Caenorhabditis elegans: one gene and its partners. The protein of the gene in region 3 purifies or fractionates together with the protein of the main gene of each other region. This does not show direct contact. Each region holds a gene or a part of one and is shown on either strand. Other genes may lie near its edges.

Region 1 (5,221 bases), on a different chromosome or scaffold from region 3:
TTTTGAAGTTATATTGCTTTGGTGTTAGTGGGGGTTATGGTCGGGGTACTGTAGTAGTACTGTAGGGGGTATTGTAGAAACGCGGTAGGATGACTGTAGTTCAGGAAAAATTGACTTTTTGTTTTTTGAAGTAATATTGCTTTGTGGTTAGTGGTGGGATATGGTCTGGGTACTGCAGTAGTACTGTAGGGGTACTGTAGGAATACCGTAGGATTACTTTAAATTTTGAAGAGATATTGGGTTGTTTGTTGGTGGGGGTTAATGTCAAGGTACTGTTGTAGTAATATAGGGGTACTGTAAGTATACATAGGGTTACTGTAGTTTAGGAAAACTTTAGTTTTTTCTTTTTTGGGGTTAGTGACCCATCGTGGCGAGACCCATAAGTTTTGGCGGGACTTCAAATTATTTGAGAACAATTTTTTGGCGGAAAATTCAAATTCTCTGAGAAATTTGTTCGGCAGGAATTGAAATTTTTTGAGTAAAAAAATTTTCTAGAAAGTTCTGGAAAGTTTCCGAAGCTTTGAGGACTAATAATTGTTTTTTATTGAAAGACACAACTTACCCATTTGTGCATTAGCAGGTAATAGAGAAGGTCTTGGAGTTGCAAATCCATTAAACTGATTCAACCTTCCAGTAGGTGCCCAAGACGGTGGAGTTGTCACCTCCAAATCGTGTAGTTGGCATTCTGAAAAATCCCGAAAAAAATTTTTTTTTGAGAATATATTGGTTAGCACATTAAAATTTTTGTAAATCTTGAAAAATGTTAATCGCAATTTTTTTAAACTTTTAAGTTACTTTGCAAATCGGCGAATTGCCGGAATTGAAACTTTCCGGCAAATTGCCGGAATTGAAAATTTCCGGCAAACTGCCCAAATTGAAAACTTCCGGCAAATCGGCAAAATGGCAAATTGTCCGAATTGAAAATTTCTGGCAAATCGGAAAATTTAATGTTCCCACATTTATTTTAATTAAGCAAATTCTATGAAAATATTAAGGAAAACAGGAACAGACTTTCAAAAAAACACAGTTTTAAGTGTTTCCGTCTTATAAAAAAATCGCTCTAAACATTTTCGGCAAATCTGATATCCGGCAAATCGGCAAATCGGCAAATCCCACAAAAAATCAGAAGCAAACTAGAGTCTAGTTAAGACTCAATACAAACTACATACTCCTTGACTAAAAACTACATTCAAAAATTAAGAAAGGAAATTAATAAACTTGTTAAATAATCTCTTAATTTCTACTTCAAATTTTTTTAAAATAAAACCATCGCATAAAGTGAATTGAATTCCGATCTAATTTCACTTCTATCATCATCATCATGAATCAATTGTCCTTAATTTCCCCTCGGTAAATACCGTTTAGCCCTTTTGCGGATATAATGGAAAGTGATATTATCTACTCATCAAGCAATAAAAAAATAATGTAGAGATGGTCGAACATAGATTTGAAGTTTATGGTTTATCGGAAAAACATGCTGGAGTGCATATTTTAATGAAACATTTGTGGTAGATTGTAAAATTGAATAAAATTTTCAATTTTTTTTTTTTAATCCAAATGCATTTTTCCAGCTTTATAGATATAATAAGAGAAGAATTAAAATTGAGGTAGAAAAAGTTTTGAAATTATATATATATAAATATATACGCATATATACATACAAAGGTATGCACAAACGGTTTTTCTTGAATTTTGGACTGTGTTCAATTAACCATAACTCAAAAACTAGAAATTATTTTCGAAAACCGTCAACTAACAAAATGTTGGTCATGATATTTTTCATAATACCAGTAAAGTATTATCACACAAAAACTACACTAAAAAAGTTACGGCGGCAGACATATGGCGGGTCGGTTTTGACCTTAAATTTTAAATCGTCGTAAATTTTCCAAAGTCTATTAAAGTAATGATTACTGAACATTATATTATTTAGTTATAAAGTTCGAAATTCTAATTTTTACACGTTAAAGGAAGTTATTATTAGTTTGAAAATGATCATTTAGAAATTAAAAAAATATTCAAAAATATCCAAAGTTTTTAAATTACCTATTTGCCGATTTGCCGGAAATTTTAAATTCTGGCAATTTGCCGGTTTTCCAATTTTTCGAAAATTTTCAATTCCGGCAATTTACCGTTTTACCGATTTGTTGGAAATTTTCAATTCGGGCAATTTGCCGGAAATTTTCAGTTCTGGCGATTTGCCGTTTTACAGATTTGCCGGAAGTTTTCAATTCTGGTAATTTGCCGGTTTTACGATTTGCCGGAAATTTTCAGTTCCGGCAATTTGCCGGTTTTCCAATTTGCCAGAAATTTTCAATTCCGGCAATTTGCCGGTTTTCCAATTTGCCGGAAATTTTTAAAATACTTGCTATTAGTTATATTATTATTTAAAAAACGCAAAACTATGTACCAGTTTGTAAAAACTTTCTTAATAATTTTTGTATAAGAAACTAGAAATTAACACAACGAAAAAATGCAAAATTATCGAAATTTTGTTATACCTACTATTAGTTATATTATTTAATTTAATTACAACTATGCAAGAGATTTTGAAATAAAAATTTAAAAAGTATTTGTTTATTCATGCATAACTATGTATGATATTCAAAATCGTCAAAAAAACGTTAGCTTATTACGGGAACACAAAATTCTGAGAATGCGTATTGCACAACATATTTGACGCGCAAAATATCTAAACTACAGTAACCCTTTAAATGACTACTGTAGTGTCGATTTACGGAGGTAATTTATTAATCGATGCATTATTGGGAGAAAAAAAATAGGAAGAACATTGAATATCGCTGTCACCATTTTAATAGAAATTTCGAGCCCGTAAATCGACCTACAGTAGTCATTTAAAGGGTTACTGTAGTTTAGATATTTTGCGCGTCAAATATGTTGTGCAATACGCATTCTCAAAAGTTTGTGTTCCCTTAATAAAGGTGTTACATAATAATATTTACTGATAAAGTATGAAATACATTTTAAAATAAAGGTGTTATTATCAATAATTTTAGCCAATAAGAGTTTGAAAATTAGTAAAGAAAATTAGTAAAAAACTTAAAATCTGTTCAAAATTTAAAATTTAAAATTTCCTACTTACCTAAAAAGGGAATAATGAGTAATAGGAGTAAACGGAGCCGTAACATTTTTTTATTTATCGAAAACGAGAAATCAATTAGTTTCTCACGGGCGGCCGAAACTTTCAATTCTTCTCCTTATTTCTTTCGTTTGTTGGGAGGAGAATCAAGAATATCGGTCAGTTATCAGACTGAATCCAGGTCAAAGCTTCGGAAGAAGGTGAAAGGTTTTCGGAAAGCAGCAGCCAGCAGCAGCCATCATATGCAACTGTTTTAATTGATGGAGATAAGGGAAGAGAGAGAGAGGGGATAAGGAAGCGCGGGGAAGTTTTTTTTGTTGTCCGTGGGGTTAGTGTGATCATCACACTTTTACTATCTTACTCGGAAAACAATTCGTAGTTCTGGCCTTTCTCATCGAATTTTTCGCGCTCCATTGACAATCGCCCGCCGGACGGGGAAAGTCGTGTACTCCACACGGACAAATACATTTAGTTTTACAACTAAAATCGAGCCGCGACGCGATACGCAACGCGACACGCAACGCGCCGTAAATCTACCCCAGAAATGGCCGAGCCAAAATGGCCTAGTTCGGCGAACTATTCCATTTCAGTTTATGAGGGAAGCTAGAACCGCGTGAAAATATTTTTGCGCCAAATTTTTTTTTTATTTTAAAATTCGTCTTAAAAATACAAATTTGAATTTTGTGCAAATTCTCTCGGTAGATTTGAAATTAGCGCCAAAATTTTTTGTAAATATTTCAGCGCGAAATTTTTTTTCCAATTTTGTTTTTTTTTCAACGACACTCCGCTATTTTAAAGGCCCGCCCACGATTTCATTTGCACAGAAATGCGTCGGCCGCGAGGCTTAAAACAGCGGAGTGTCGTTGGTTGGGTCGTTGTTTATTTTTGTGCGATCGTGTTTTTTCTATAATATTAGAAAAAATAAACATTCTGAATATTCACGTGGTGTCAGGTTGTCCCATTACGGTTTGATCTACAAAAAATGCGGGAATATATTGCCCAAAAAATGTGACGCCAGAACGTTCTTAACCATACGAAATCAGTTGAGAACTCCCGCTTTTTTTGTAGATCTACGTAGATCAAACCGAAATGAGACACGAAATGAGTTCGTAAGCGTTCACTGTTTCCTGTAAGATCGATTGAAAATTTCCGGTAAATCGACAAACTGCCGGAATTGAAATTTTCCGGCAAATCGGCAATTTGCCGAAAATGAAAATTTCCGGCAAATCGGCAAATCGACAAATTGCCGGAATTGAAAATTTCCGGCAAATCGGCAAACCGGCAATTTGCCGAATTTGTCGACAACTCAATTTGCCGCCCACCCCTGCTCCAGAACTAAAATGCTTGCTAAAAATGCTATATTTCAAACATTCTATATATATTTATTTATGCATTTTCACAACAGGAAAACTACACAGAAACCCATAAAATTCCAAGAAAAAAAATTGACGAGAAACCGAAACCGAGGGGCAAATAGGAAATTATGGTCCATATGTATTTAGGAGTTGAGAGCCAGAAGACGAGCGTTGAGCGGATTTTCCGGCGATTTTTGCCATTCTTTCTTGAGAATTTGCTTCAATTGCGACAGGCGGAACGTTGGATGATTCAGTTTTAGCTCGGGGAGCCGAGCTTCTTCGAAGGCCTGGAAAATGGGGAATTTAAGGGATTTTTGGGGAAATTTACTGAAATTTTATGTTTTTTTTACTCTTAATTTAGAAAAAAATGGAAAAATCGCAGAAAACCGCAGAAAATTCTCGAATTTCGGAATTTTCGATGTTTTTTTTCAAAAATTATTTTAAAATTGAACAAAAATATTTTTTTTAGAAATAGAAAATTGTAATAATAAATTTTAATGAAAAGTCTATTGAGTTTAATTTTCAAAAATTTTGAAAAAAAAATCGCTGAAAATTGCATAGAAAATTATTTTTAATAATTAACATTTAGTAGATCAAAAATCGCGTGAAAATCTAAAATTCTGAAAAAAATTCGAAAAATGTTGTCCCATTACGGTTTGATCTACAAAAAATGCGGGAATTTTTTGCCCAAAAATATGTGACGTCAGCACGTTCTTAACCATGCGAAATCAGTTGAGAACTCTGCGTCTCTTCGCCCGCATTCTTT
Region 2 (5,510 bases), on a different chromosome or scaffold from region 3:
CGGTGATTGTAGAGTATCCCAAAGCCTTCAACTCTCTGATGCATCCAACGCAAGAAGAATCAAATTCAACTGAAGAACCGATTCGGTATACTCCTGATCCGAGAACCATCACAGCGTTCTTCATATTGAATGAAACATCATTCTCTATTCCATTGAATGTTGTGTAGAGGTAGTTTGTCTGAGCAGGCCATTCTCCAGCAACTGTGTCAATTTGCTTCACGCAAGGAGTGATTCCTTTGACGAAACGAGCTTCGCGAACTGTGTATTCGTTGCTGAAATTTTAATTTACTGTTTAGATATCGAGCTAAAAATCAAAGCAGAGAAGGGTAAGAGTATTTACCTTCCGATTTTCTTTGCTATTTGTCTGTCGGAGAATCCTGCTTGTTTCGCCTCCAGGAGCAGTTCAGCAGATACTGTATTGACGTCAGTCTTTTCGAGGCGATGGTAAATATCAACGATGTTCTGCATTCTGAACAAGAACCAACGATCAATACGTGTCAGCTCGTGAGCTTTTTCAACATCAAAGTCTCCATAATACATTCCACGTGCCAATGCAAACATTCTCTTATCTGTAGGCTTTGAAAGATCATCAGCTGTTGTAGGACGACTGAATGTGTATGGAGAGAAACCGTCAGCATGATCGGACACCATTCTCAACGCCTTCTGAAGAGCCTCTTCAAAGCATCTCCCGATTCCCATGACTTCTCCAACTGATTTCATAGAGCTTCCAATTTGTGTGCTGACACGAGCGAATTTTCCAAGATCCCAACGAGGAATCTTCACAACACAATAGTCCAAACTTGGCTCAAAGCATGCAGTTGTGGTTCCAGTGACACTATTTCGGATGACTGGCAGATGTTGTCCCAATGCCAACTTTGCAGCAACATATGCCAATGGGTATCCGGTGGCTTTTGAGGCAAGAGCAGAAGAACGAGAAAGTCGTGCATTGACTTCGATAATGTAATACTGAAAATAATACAAATTTAATACAATTCTCTAACTCAAAGCTTTTGCAAACTTACAGTCAAGGAATACGGATCCAGAGCGTATTGAATATTACACTCTCCAATAATTCCCAAGTGCCGAATAACTTTGATTGCACATGTTCTAAGAGCATTGTATTCTCTGTCAGAAAGAGTTTGAGATGGTGCAACAACAACACTTTCACCAGTATGAATTCCAAGTGGATCCACATTTTCCATGTTGCAAACGGTAATACAATTATCGTAAGCGTCCCGAACAACTTCATATTCCACTTCCTTCCATCCTTTCAAACTCTTATCAACAAGAACCTGATTTGAGTGTGCTAAAGCTTGTTGAGCAATTGCAATGAGCTCTTCCCGGTTGTCAGCGAATCCTGATCCAAGTCCACCAAGAGCATATGCGGCTCTGACAAGAACTGGATAACCCAACTCTTCAGCTGCTTCAATGGCACCTTCCATGGTCGTCGCTGCTTTACTTGGTGCAACCTTTTCTCCAATAGCCGAAATTTCTTGATTGAACAAATCGCGATCTTCTGTTTTCATAATTGTGTTGATTTGAGTTCCAAGAACCTGAAAAATATATAACTTTTAGTTTCCTTAATCAAGTAGTTTCGTATTTACCTGCACATCGTATTGCTCAAAAATTCCATCTTTATACAAGTCGATGGCGCAGTTGAGAGCAGTTTGACCTCCAAAGGTACACAAGATTCCAGTTGGTCGCTCCTTCTTGATCACATCGGTAACGTATTCTTTAGTGATTGGAAGGAAGTAAGTGAAATCAGCAAAGCCTTTGGAGGTTTGAACTGTAGCAATGTTTGGGTTGATGAGAACTGTTCGAATTCCTTCTTCTCTCAATGCCTTCAGAGCTTGAGCCCCAGAATAATCAAACTCTCCAGCTTGACCAATAGTGAGACCGCCTGATCCGAGAACGAGAACTTTTCTCTGTTCTTTGGCATGATAGATGGGAGTGAAAGTCATAAGACGAGTGAGCTCTTGATCGACACTGAAAATAAACTTTTAATAAAGTTAACATATTTTTAAACTAACTTCATGAATGTGCCACTCTTTGCTTGTCTCACAGAATCAGCAAAAACATCGAACAAAAACTCGCAATCAGTTGGCCCGGCAGTGTGTTCTGGATGGAATTGAACACTGAAAAATGGTTTAGACGAGTGCACAATTCCTTCGTTGGTCTTGTCATTCTCATTCGTGAAAAGTGCCTTCCAATCAGCTGGAAGTGAATCTGGATCAACTGCGTATCCATGATTTTGAGAAGTGATGTAGCAACGGCCAGTAGCATAATGAGTGCATGGCTGATTGTGACCACGGTTACCGTATCTGAAAAAAATGTTGTAATTAAAAAGAAAAAATTAATCTTCAAACTAATTGATGCATGTGTTTTTAGTGGTTTTTGTTATGATAATTGAAATATCTTCAAATCAATTGGTAAAACTTACTTCAATTTGTAGGTTTTCGCTCCGATAGCTCTAGACAAAATTTGGTGTCCGAGACAAATTCCAAAAATTGGTTTGTCTCCTCTTGCAATAACTTTGGCTAATCGATCGACCAGTGGTGCACAAATTTCTGGATCTCCTGGTCCGTTGGAAAGGAAAAGTCCATCATAATCACTTTCAGTATCAATTGGATGATTCCAAGGAACCACTTTGACACGAAATCCTCGTTTTGCGAGACATCTAATTTGATTATTCTTGAGACCACAATCAACTGCGAGAATGGTTTGATCACCGGATCCATAGACAACTGGCTCTTTTCTCGACACGAAGTCAACCAAATTTTCAGCATTGACGTCAACGTAGTCGAAGTTTTGTGCATTGTCTGATTCGATCACAAGCTTCGCCTGAAAACATGATGTTGGAAAAATATTTTTAAAAAATGCTTTAACCCAACTACAGTATCACTAACCTTCATTGTTCCAGTCTCTCTGATTTTCTTCACCAATTGGCGAACATCAATTCCGGAAAGACATGGAACATCAGCTTTTCTGAGCCATTCTGATAACGACTGAACTGCTTGCCAATGACTGTGTTCTCCATCGACACAAATTTTCTCAACAATGAGAGCTGCTGGCCAGATCCTGTCAGACTCAAATTCAGCTGGTAGCTTGAACTGATCCAGAATCTCTGCAGATGGAACTCCGTAATTTCCAATAAGTGGATATGTAAGTGTGAGAAGCTGCTTGGCGTATGATGGATCGGTAAGAGATTCCACATAACCAACCATTCCGGTTTGAAAAACTGAAAATTCAAATAAAATTTTAATAAAAACTTGATGAAAACTTACCAATTTCTCCAACTACACTTTTGGTTGCTCCATAAATGGAGCCCACAAAAGTGGACCCGTCCTCGAGATGCAAAGTCGCTCTCATACTTTCCCAATGCATTCGAACCAAACTGGAAGAACATTTCTTTAGTCGAGTTTAAAAATCGAAAGGTTTTATGGAAACTAAAAAAAAAAGAGAAAAGTAGTGAAAATCGGAGTCTACAGTTCAACCATATTGCCCTTTTGTACAGATACATACAACTAGTTGATAAGAAATATTATTGTCTAGCTTGTATAGGAAAACCAGTGGATAAGATAGTAAGTATTTTCATGTCAAAACGAGCAAACGCGCAGTTATATGCGCAGAGAAGCAGAGAATTCGAGAAATACCAGAGAGAAATGGACAAAGAGAAAAACATGTGATGGAGGAGAGTAAGGGTGTTTACTAACAAGACACTATTTTTGAATTTGGTGTTCCTGCCCACTGAGATAGAAACGAGATAAACATTGTGGATGTGTGTTTTTGCAGAATGACCTAGAACGTTCTTTGAAAGACCGCAGAACGCTGGAATGTAGGGTTTATCGATTTGAGGAAGCTCCGCCCCCAAGACCATCGTCGATGAGCACATGTATTGATTTGAATTAAAATAGAGTTTTGGAACATGTCAGCCACCTATGACAGTATTATTTGAAAGAGCAACTTAACAATGGATAAGAGTGACCACGGTTGCAAAATGCCGAACTAAACGATCAAGTTTTTTGACGAAAAGCGACGAAAAAAAGATGATAAGAGAGGTGGGAGGGATGGAGTGACCGATAGTAGAGGGACGACTGGGCGCCAGAGTGCAAAGGGAAAATGATTGAAAAAAAGACAAAGAACACATGTCACCCTAGGAGTGAGCATTTGTACTTTTAGTTTGTTTATGGGAGAAGCTTATTTTTTTATGAAAAAAATGGAATGTAAATTTCTTTTTACAACAGAGGTAGGGGATAGTAAAATCTCGCTTTTGGTCAAGTTTTCAATCAAATTCGATTAACCAGAGTGTGAAGCCAGGGGCCTCTTGTTCTCCCTTTATACTGTTAATAGAGGGCGGGCTAAACGCTCACGAGTGAAATGAAATGAATGCAATATTATAAAAGCTTTTAGTGACAAAAAGAAAGAAGCGGTCAGCTCAAAGAAACCCCAAACAAATTGAAAATAAAAGAGCGTACATAGAACTCTAAAATGTCACACACATAATATTTATCGATTTGAAGTAGATCCACCCTAGAAGATCACAAAATACTTCCTCGCTGTTTGAGACTCGAAAATTAAGAGTGGTTACATGAGTGTTAGTGTGAGACGACTGTAGAAAATACGCTTGTAAATTTTCCGCAATTTTGGCCAAAGGTCAAACTGGGAGAGCTTTTCTGAACACCTGTTGTTTTGCAACATGATGGAACAAATGAGAATGTTCTTTAAAAGAGATTCAAGACAATTGGAACACGACGAAGTTACGAAAAAACATACCCATATTTCTTGGTTACGTGGCTACACCTACACCTAAAATTACACCTACAGGTGTCATTTGAAACGGTCCAAATGGAGAAATAATGTTGTTTTTATGCGAGAAATAAATATGAAAAATTGGCTTCTCCCATATCGTGGCTTTTTCGTTTTTGCGTCAATTTTTTTGAACTTCATTTAATTATTTTCGTTCTTTTCTTTGAATTTTATCAATATAACATAGTACATCAAAACAGGAGAGAAATACCACAAGTGATAGACCAGATGAAAGGAGTGACCGATACCGGAGTGTAAAGGGCAAATGATTGAAAAAAGACAGAGAACACATTTTGCTCTGGGAATTTGCAATTGGTCAACTGTAAATGTTTGCTTACTTTTATCACTAGTAATAGTACCACTATCAAACTCTGATAAATTTAAAAAGGAAACTTGGACGTTGAGTCTGTATATTGAACAATTGAGAGCCAAACGAGCAAAAAGTGGAAAGAAAAATATTATTGAGTGAACTAAAAACTATCTCGAAAAATAACGTTATGCATTTCATTTTCTTCTAATACGACTTCGAAGAGAGCGCATTTATAAATAACTAGTGGGCGCGCATCGAGATAATACCCAAAGTTTTTGTGAAAAACTCGAGTAGATCACGCGAAGATCACATACTGTTTCCCTCGCTTTTTATAATTCTCTTAATTTTTCACATATTAAACAGTGATCTACATCCATTTTTTGCAAAAACTTGA
Region 3 (5,081 bases):
TTCCTGATTAATTTTGTTTTTCACACAAGCATGAAGAACTAGAAAATATTCAACACAAATGTCACTGCTTCTCTCCCGAGCGGTCTTTTATACAACTTGTAAAAAAATGAAATGTCTTTTTGGGGGTTTTATTCTCATATCTTATCAATTTTATGGGAACAACTACCGTAGACATATCTATTATTTGATACAAAGAACATAATCGGTTTTCTGTGAACAAAACCAATAAATTTTGATTAATTATATATGGTACTTGGCACGTAACCAATTTGATTTTTAAAAAAAGAAGACGGTGAAAAAATGAAACCATAGATCACAATGAACCCGGAACTAACTTTTTATGTTCCTGTTCTTATGGAACACACAAAAGCATTCCAGAAGTGAATAAGTGTTTTATAAAAAACTATAGTTCAACATTTTGATTGTTAGAAAATACTTCTATTCATTTATCCTCCAAAAGAAAAAACCGAACAAAGTCGCAGTTTGAACAAAGTGGAGTTACTACTGCTCTGCCGGTACTCTTGCATAGTTGGAACAAAACTATGGAATCATTCTATGACTGTAAAGTTTAAATTATAATGTCGAAAAAAAACTCCGTCTTGTTCTAGTTGAGAACATTTATTGATTCCGGAATTGCCTGGATTTTGCGAAATGGTGTTATTAAATTGGAAACAAGAATACAAATATTTATAACAATATTGCTGCACTGCAAGTTTTTCGATATTTCAGCAACTACAATATATTTTTGAAAATAAAATAATTTCGACTGAAACTATCGATTTTATTTCTGAACTATCTAAAATATCATAAAAAGGATTATTTTCAATGTGTGATAATTGTTTATTCGTTTGTAAATAACCGTGTTTCCGCATAAACAATTTTCAATTGGTAAGTCGGGAATGCTAGACCATGTTACGCTGTAACACTAATTTTCCATTTTTTTTAAATTTCGAATATACTTTTCATGTCTCATCTATTATTAATTTATAATCCTTGTTATTAGGGAAATCTACTTTGAAGTTGTTTATTTCACTCCAATTTTTTCAATTGTTGGAACTCAAAGAAAAAACCAATGAACTTTTATTAAATTCGAATGGAGGAAAACGTATGTGCAATATATTTACGGAATAGATTTATTATGGATTACTTATTTAATTCCAAATATATCAAACATTTCCCAGATTGTTGATGAGTGTCTCGAAGATTTCAACTCCTGAAAAAGAATATTGTATTTCGATTGAGAAAACAAATTATTACCTCTTAAAAATACTTTTTCATTCAAAAACTCGTTATGGGCATGTGCTCGGACAGGTGTGTTGATCATTGGAGAGAAATTGATAGCAGGAACTCCAGCCTAAAATGTTTCAACATGAGCCGAATTTATATGAAATTTCTCAGGCCAAATCACCTTTCTTACGAATCTGGAATCAGTTGATCCTACACATACTTCAGTGGTGAATTCACAATTCCTGAAATATAAATTTATTAATCAAAATTATTGAATGGGGACACTAACTCTTGTTTCAAACTATCTTCAAATGCAGCCCAAAATGGATCGTCTCGAGTATGTGGAGACACTGGTTTGTAGTCGGAATGCTGAAAATACAGCTATTTTAAAAGCCATTCGTGATCATTAGATCTAACCTGAGAAAATTCATAAGTGACACCTTCTCCTGCATCTTTCACCCATTGATCCAATTTTGCACGAATTTCACCAAAATCTTGATTTGGTGTCAATCTGATATCAACATCTGAAAATTGAGCTCTTACATATATGGTTCACTTTCAGATAAACTTACAAGCTTCAAACTTTTCGGGAATCACATTGAATTGAACTCCACCCTTCAAAATATTCACGTTCAAAGTCGTAACATCTCCAAGAGCCCAGGTAGGATTTTTCTCTAACAATTCTTTTTGCTCGTTTCGGAATGCTCTTGCACTTGCAAGGAAACGTTCCTGGAAAAAAATTGTAAAACATGTAATGTAAATTTTTTGACAGAAAAGATTAATTTAACTTACAATCTTCTCCATTGCGGTGTTTTCCATAAACTGAGATCCATGACCTGGATTTCCGGGAGCTGTTACTTTAAGCCACCAGGTTACTCTTTCAGCATAAAAAGTCAAATATACGCCATTTTCAGATGCATGACCTTCATCAAGTGAAAACCCAATGTTAAGCTTCTTGAACTCATTCGTCTCCACAAATCCCTTCATTCCATTTATATGCCCTGTTTCCTCATCTGGACCCCACACCACATGAATTGTCCTTTTCCATTGTTTTGCCCCTTTTGCAAATAAATTCCTGAATGCCTCAACGTGTTGTACACCAAGACATTTTGTATCTTGTGCTCCGCGAGCAAAAATGTTTCCATCTTCATCTTTGAATGCAGAATATGGATCATGAGTCCAATGCTCACGGAATGTTGGAACTACATCAGTATGAGAATATAACATAATTGAAGGTAATTCTGGTTGAGATCCTGGGATCGTCATTATTACGAAATAAACTCCTGGAGCTGTCTGGAAATTTGAAAGTTTTCTCATTATTTAATAAAATTTAACATTGAATACCTCAACAGCTTTCCTTTCAATTCCAACTTCATCCGCATATTTGAACAAAAAGTCACGACAGGCCACTGAAATTTATGAATCAAGGAAACTACATGTACATTCTCTATGTATCACCACTTTCTAACCTAACTTTCATGTCAATTAAATATTGGTATGGTATAAAAATCTAGCTCCCAATCTTTCTCAATTTAAAGGTTTACCTACCGTAATCTGGATTCGGCTGTTCTGTATTAACCCGAAGGTATTCTCGGAATCGAGTGACTGCAATGTGCTCCTCGCTCATTTTTCAATAGCTTCTCGTTTTGGAAAAGTGCACAAGAAAATGATAAACACAAATGAATTGAATTTTCCGAGCGCTCCTCCTTTTATACAAATTTGATCGAAAAAAGAGTTGGCAACCGTTTTTTTATAATTATATCTTATCAATTCAATGTGACAGAAGGTGGACAATAAAAAGAAAGAACACAATACCTGGTTTCTAAGTACAACATAGTCCAGTCATCAGTTTGACATGAGAACCAATACAGTAGAAAAAGTTTTGAAAAGAATTGTGGTACCAGGAAGTGATTGATTGGAAGTACAAGCTGATAAGAAACTACAAGAATTCCAAATTGTCTGACCGGAAAGTTTAGGGGTCTATATATCATTAGATATCTTAACGTTCTCAATTAAAAACACATATCAAAAAATTCGTTCCTGCGAACTATTAATCAATTTATAATGCTCTTCATCGTGATTAAATGAAAATCAAGTCACGTTTAATCAGAAGATCAAACAATCATATGGTTCTAAAAACGTTCTAGACAGTTGGTCGTTTGTCTCATCTCGATATCAAATATGATCAGCTACGATAATACATCCGAATGTATGAAACTTCGAAAATTAACTGTTTTTACTGATTTCTTTACTGATAATTGAAGATAAAGTTTTTCAGAGATTTAGTAATTTTGAACAATTTAAAAATGTTTTCAAAATTTTTTATAATGGGACCTTAATAGACTTGCCCATCATTTAAGGGCCGCACAAAGGTGCACAAAGTGTTACTTTTAAGCTTATACTATCTTATTTTCTCGTTAATATAATTTCACTAAAAGCTTGAAAGCTCTGACGATGTTGTTTGTTCAAAATTTTGCCCAGATTTATATAAGAATGTTTACATCAGCTACTAACGTTTTTTAATTGAATAATTTGCACTGATTGCTTCAAGTTGACACCAGACTGTCATCGTCTTGGTTTTATCAAATTTGCACCATGTAGTTTAATTATGTTTAAAAAATGCATATTGCCTGGTTTCTTGTTTCTCTTTTTTTTGGCCTTTTAAAAAGTTCAATTTGTTCAATGTTTCGTCTCATTTACTGTTTCTCACGAATTGATTCCCTGGTCACCGTTTTGATCAAACCTGACATAAATGTGTTCTGTTCAACGAACCATTTGTGTGTCTCTTATCATCTGATTCTTTTGTCAACTGCGATTTCCCATAAAATATATGAAAAATGATGATTTGAAGATGACAAGATCCAATAATTTTCTCAATTACGATCATTCAATGTCTAGACTAAAAAACACTTATGGTAAACATTCTCATCTTCAAGTGTTTTAAGGAAAAATACACATTTTTCCATTGGGTTGTTTTTTTCTAGATCTCATAGAAAAAGATGATAAAAGCTGATTCTGGAACAAATTGATACAGGACAAATTAATTTGAAAATTGTTTACTTCAATTTCGATACCAACGAATATTCTATCGTAACAAATCACCAGAAGAATTACTGATCGTAACTGACTAATACAAGCACCAACGAAAGATCCAAAAACTATAAATATATTTAATTTTTGAAAAAGTATAAAACCTTTCAATTTTATAGAGCTCATTATGATTTCTCTATGCCGGAAACTAGAGCCCCAGAATCTAACTCAACTACTTATTATTTTGTTTGTCTCAATTTATTTTTCAACTATGAACGATCTGGAAGGACTTCTTTACCAACATGTAATATTCTGAAATAATACTCATAGTTTTGTCAATATAAAATCAGGAGCTGTTTGTTATCTTTATCGTTTTTTTTCATACATTTTTCAATGTACTTTTATCAAATCTATTTTTCTAGCTTCTAAAAAAAGTGTGTTCCAAGTATTGTCAAAGTCACGTCTATGATCGGTCATGATAGTTGACCTTGATCTCAAAACTTTTTTTTTTTTTCTTTGTATCTCTTTTTTCTTGTCTGCTTCCGTTCCCAGACGAATGATAAGATTATAAGATTTACTTACCAAAACCAAAAAAAGAGTCTCATAGATAAGATATATTTTATTTTTAAAAATTGATCCAGTGAGAGAATTCACACGGGTTTTCCGACTTCCACGGATGCGATTTTTGAGACGATCAAATTTTCTGAAACTTATTGGATGCGGGAAATTCTTTAGTTTCTACCAAAAGAAGTGACATTTCAGCTTTAACTTTTTCACACATTTATTCATACAAGCTTAAAAAAAAGAAAATGCGAGTATTGTGA

What was found. Proteins that work in one complex are often made in the same cells at the same time.
Region 1: the proteins of C10C5.4 (region 3) and Y73E7A.8 fractionate together in Caenorhabditis elegans (co-fractionation; one large-scale study listed by BioGRID). This does not show direct contact.
Region 2: the proteins of C10C5.4 (region 3) and pyr-1 fractionate together in Caenorhabditis elegans (co-fractionation; one large-scale study listed by BioGRID). This does not show direct contact.

What each region holds. Positions count from the first base shown.
Region 1 is NC_003279.8:1,632,742-1,637,962, reverse strand, and holds the start of Y73E7A.8 (Mucin-5AC), read right to left. Parts: upstream 3,395-5,221; 5' UTR 3,150-3,394; coding exon 3,104-3,149; intron 686-3,103; coding exon 563-685; intron 1-562. Other genes in the region: Y73E7A.1 (Coiled-coil domain-containing protein), read right to left, coding at 4,599-4,742.
Region 2 is NC_003280.10:8,648,993-8,654,502, reverse strand, and holds the start of pyr-1 (Glutamine-dependent carbamoyl-phosphate synthase), read right to left. Parts: upstream 3,395-5,510; 5' UTR 3,370-3,394; coding exon 3,285-3,369; intron 3,239-3,284; coding exon 2,907-3,238; intron 2,842-2,906; coding exon 2,441-2,841; intron 2,322-2,440; coding exon 2,031-2,321; intron 1,987-2,030; coding exon 1,605-1,986; intron 1,554-1,604; coding exon 1,023-1,553; intron 967-1,022; coding exon 341-966; intron 273-340; coding exon 1-272.
Region 3 is NC_003282.8:9,376,435-9,381,515, reverse strand, and holds C10C5.4 (N-acyl-aliphatic-L-amino acid amidohydrolase), read right to left. Parts: upstream 2,965-5,081; 5' UTR 2,855-2,964; coding exon 2,776-2,854; intron 2,637-2,775; coding exon 2,572-2,636; intron 2,521-2,571; coding exon 2,020-2,520; intron 1,957-2,019; coding exon 1,800-1,956; intron 1,752-1,799; coding exon 1,645-1,751; intron 1,597-1,644; coding exon 1,517-1,596; intron 1,470-1,516; coding exon 1,409-1,469; intron 1,355-1,408; coding exon 1,258-1,354; intron 1,214-1,257; coding exon 1,167-1,213; 3' UTR 1,064-1,166; downstream 1-1,063. Other genes in the region: C10C5.5 (N-acyl-aliphatic-L-amino acid amidohydrolase), read right to left, coding at 1-1.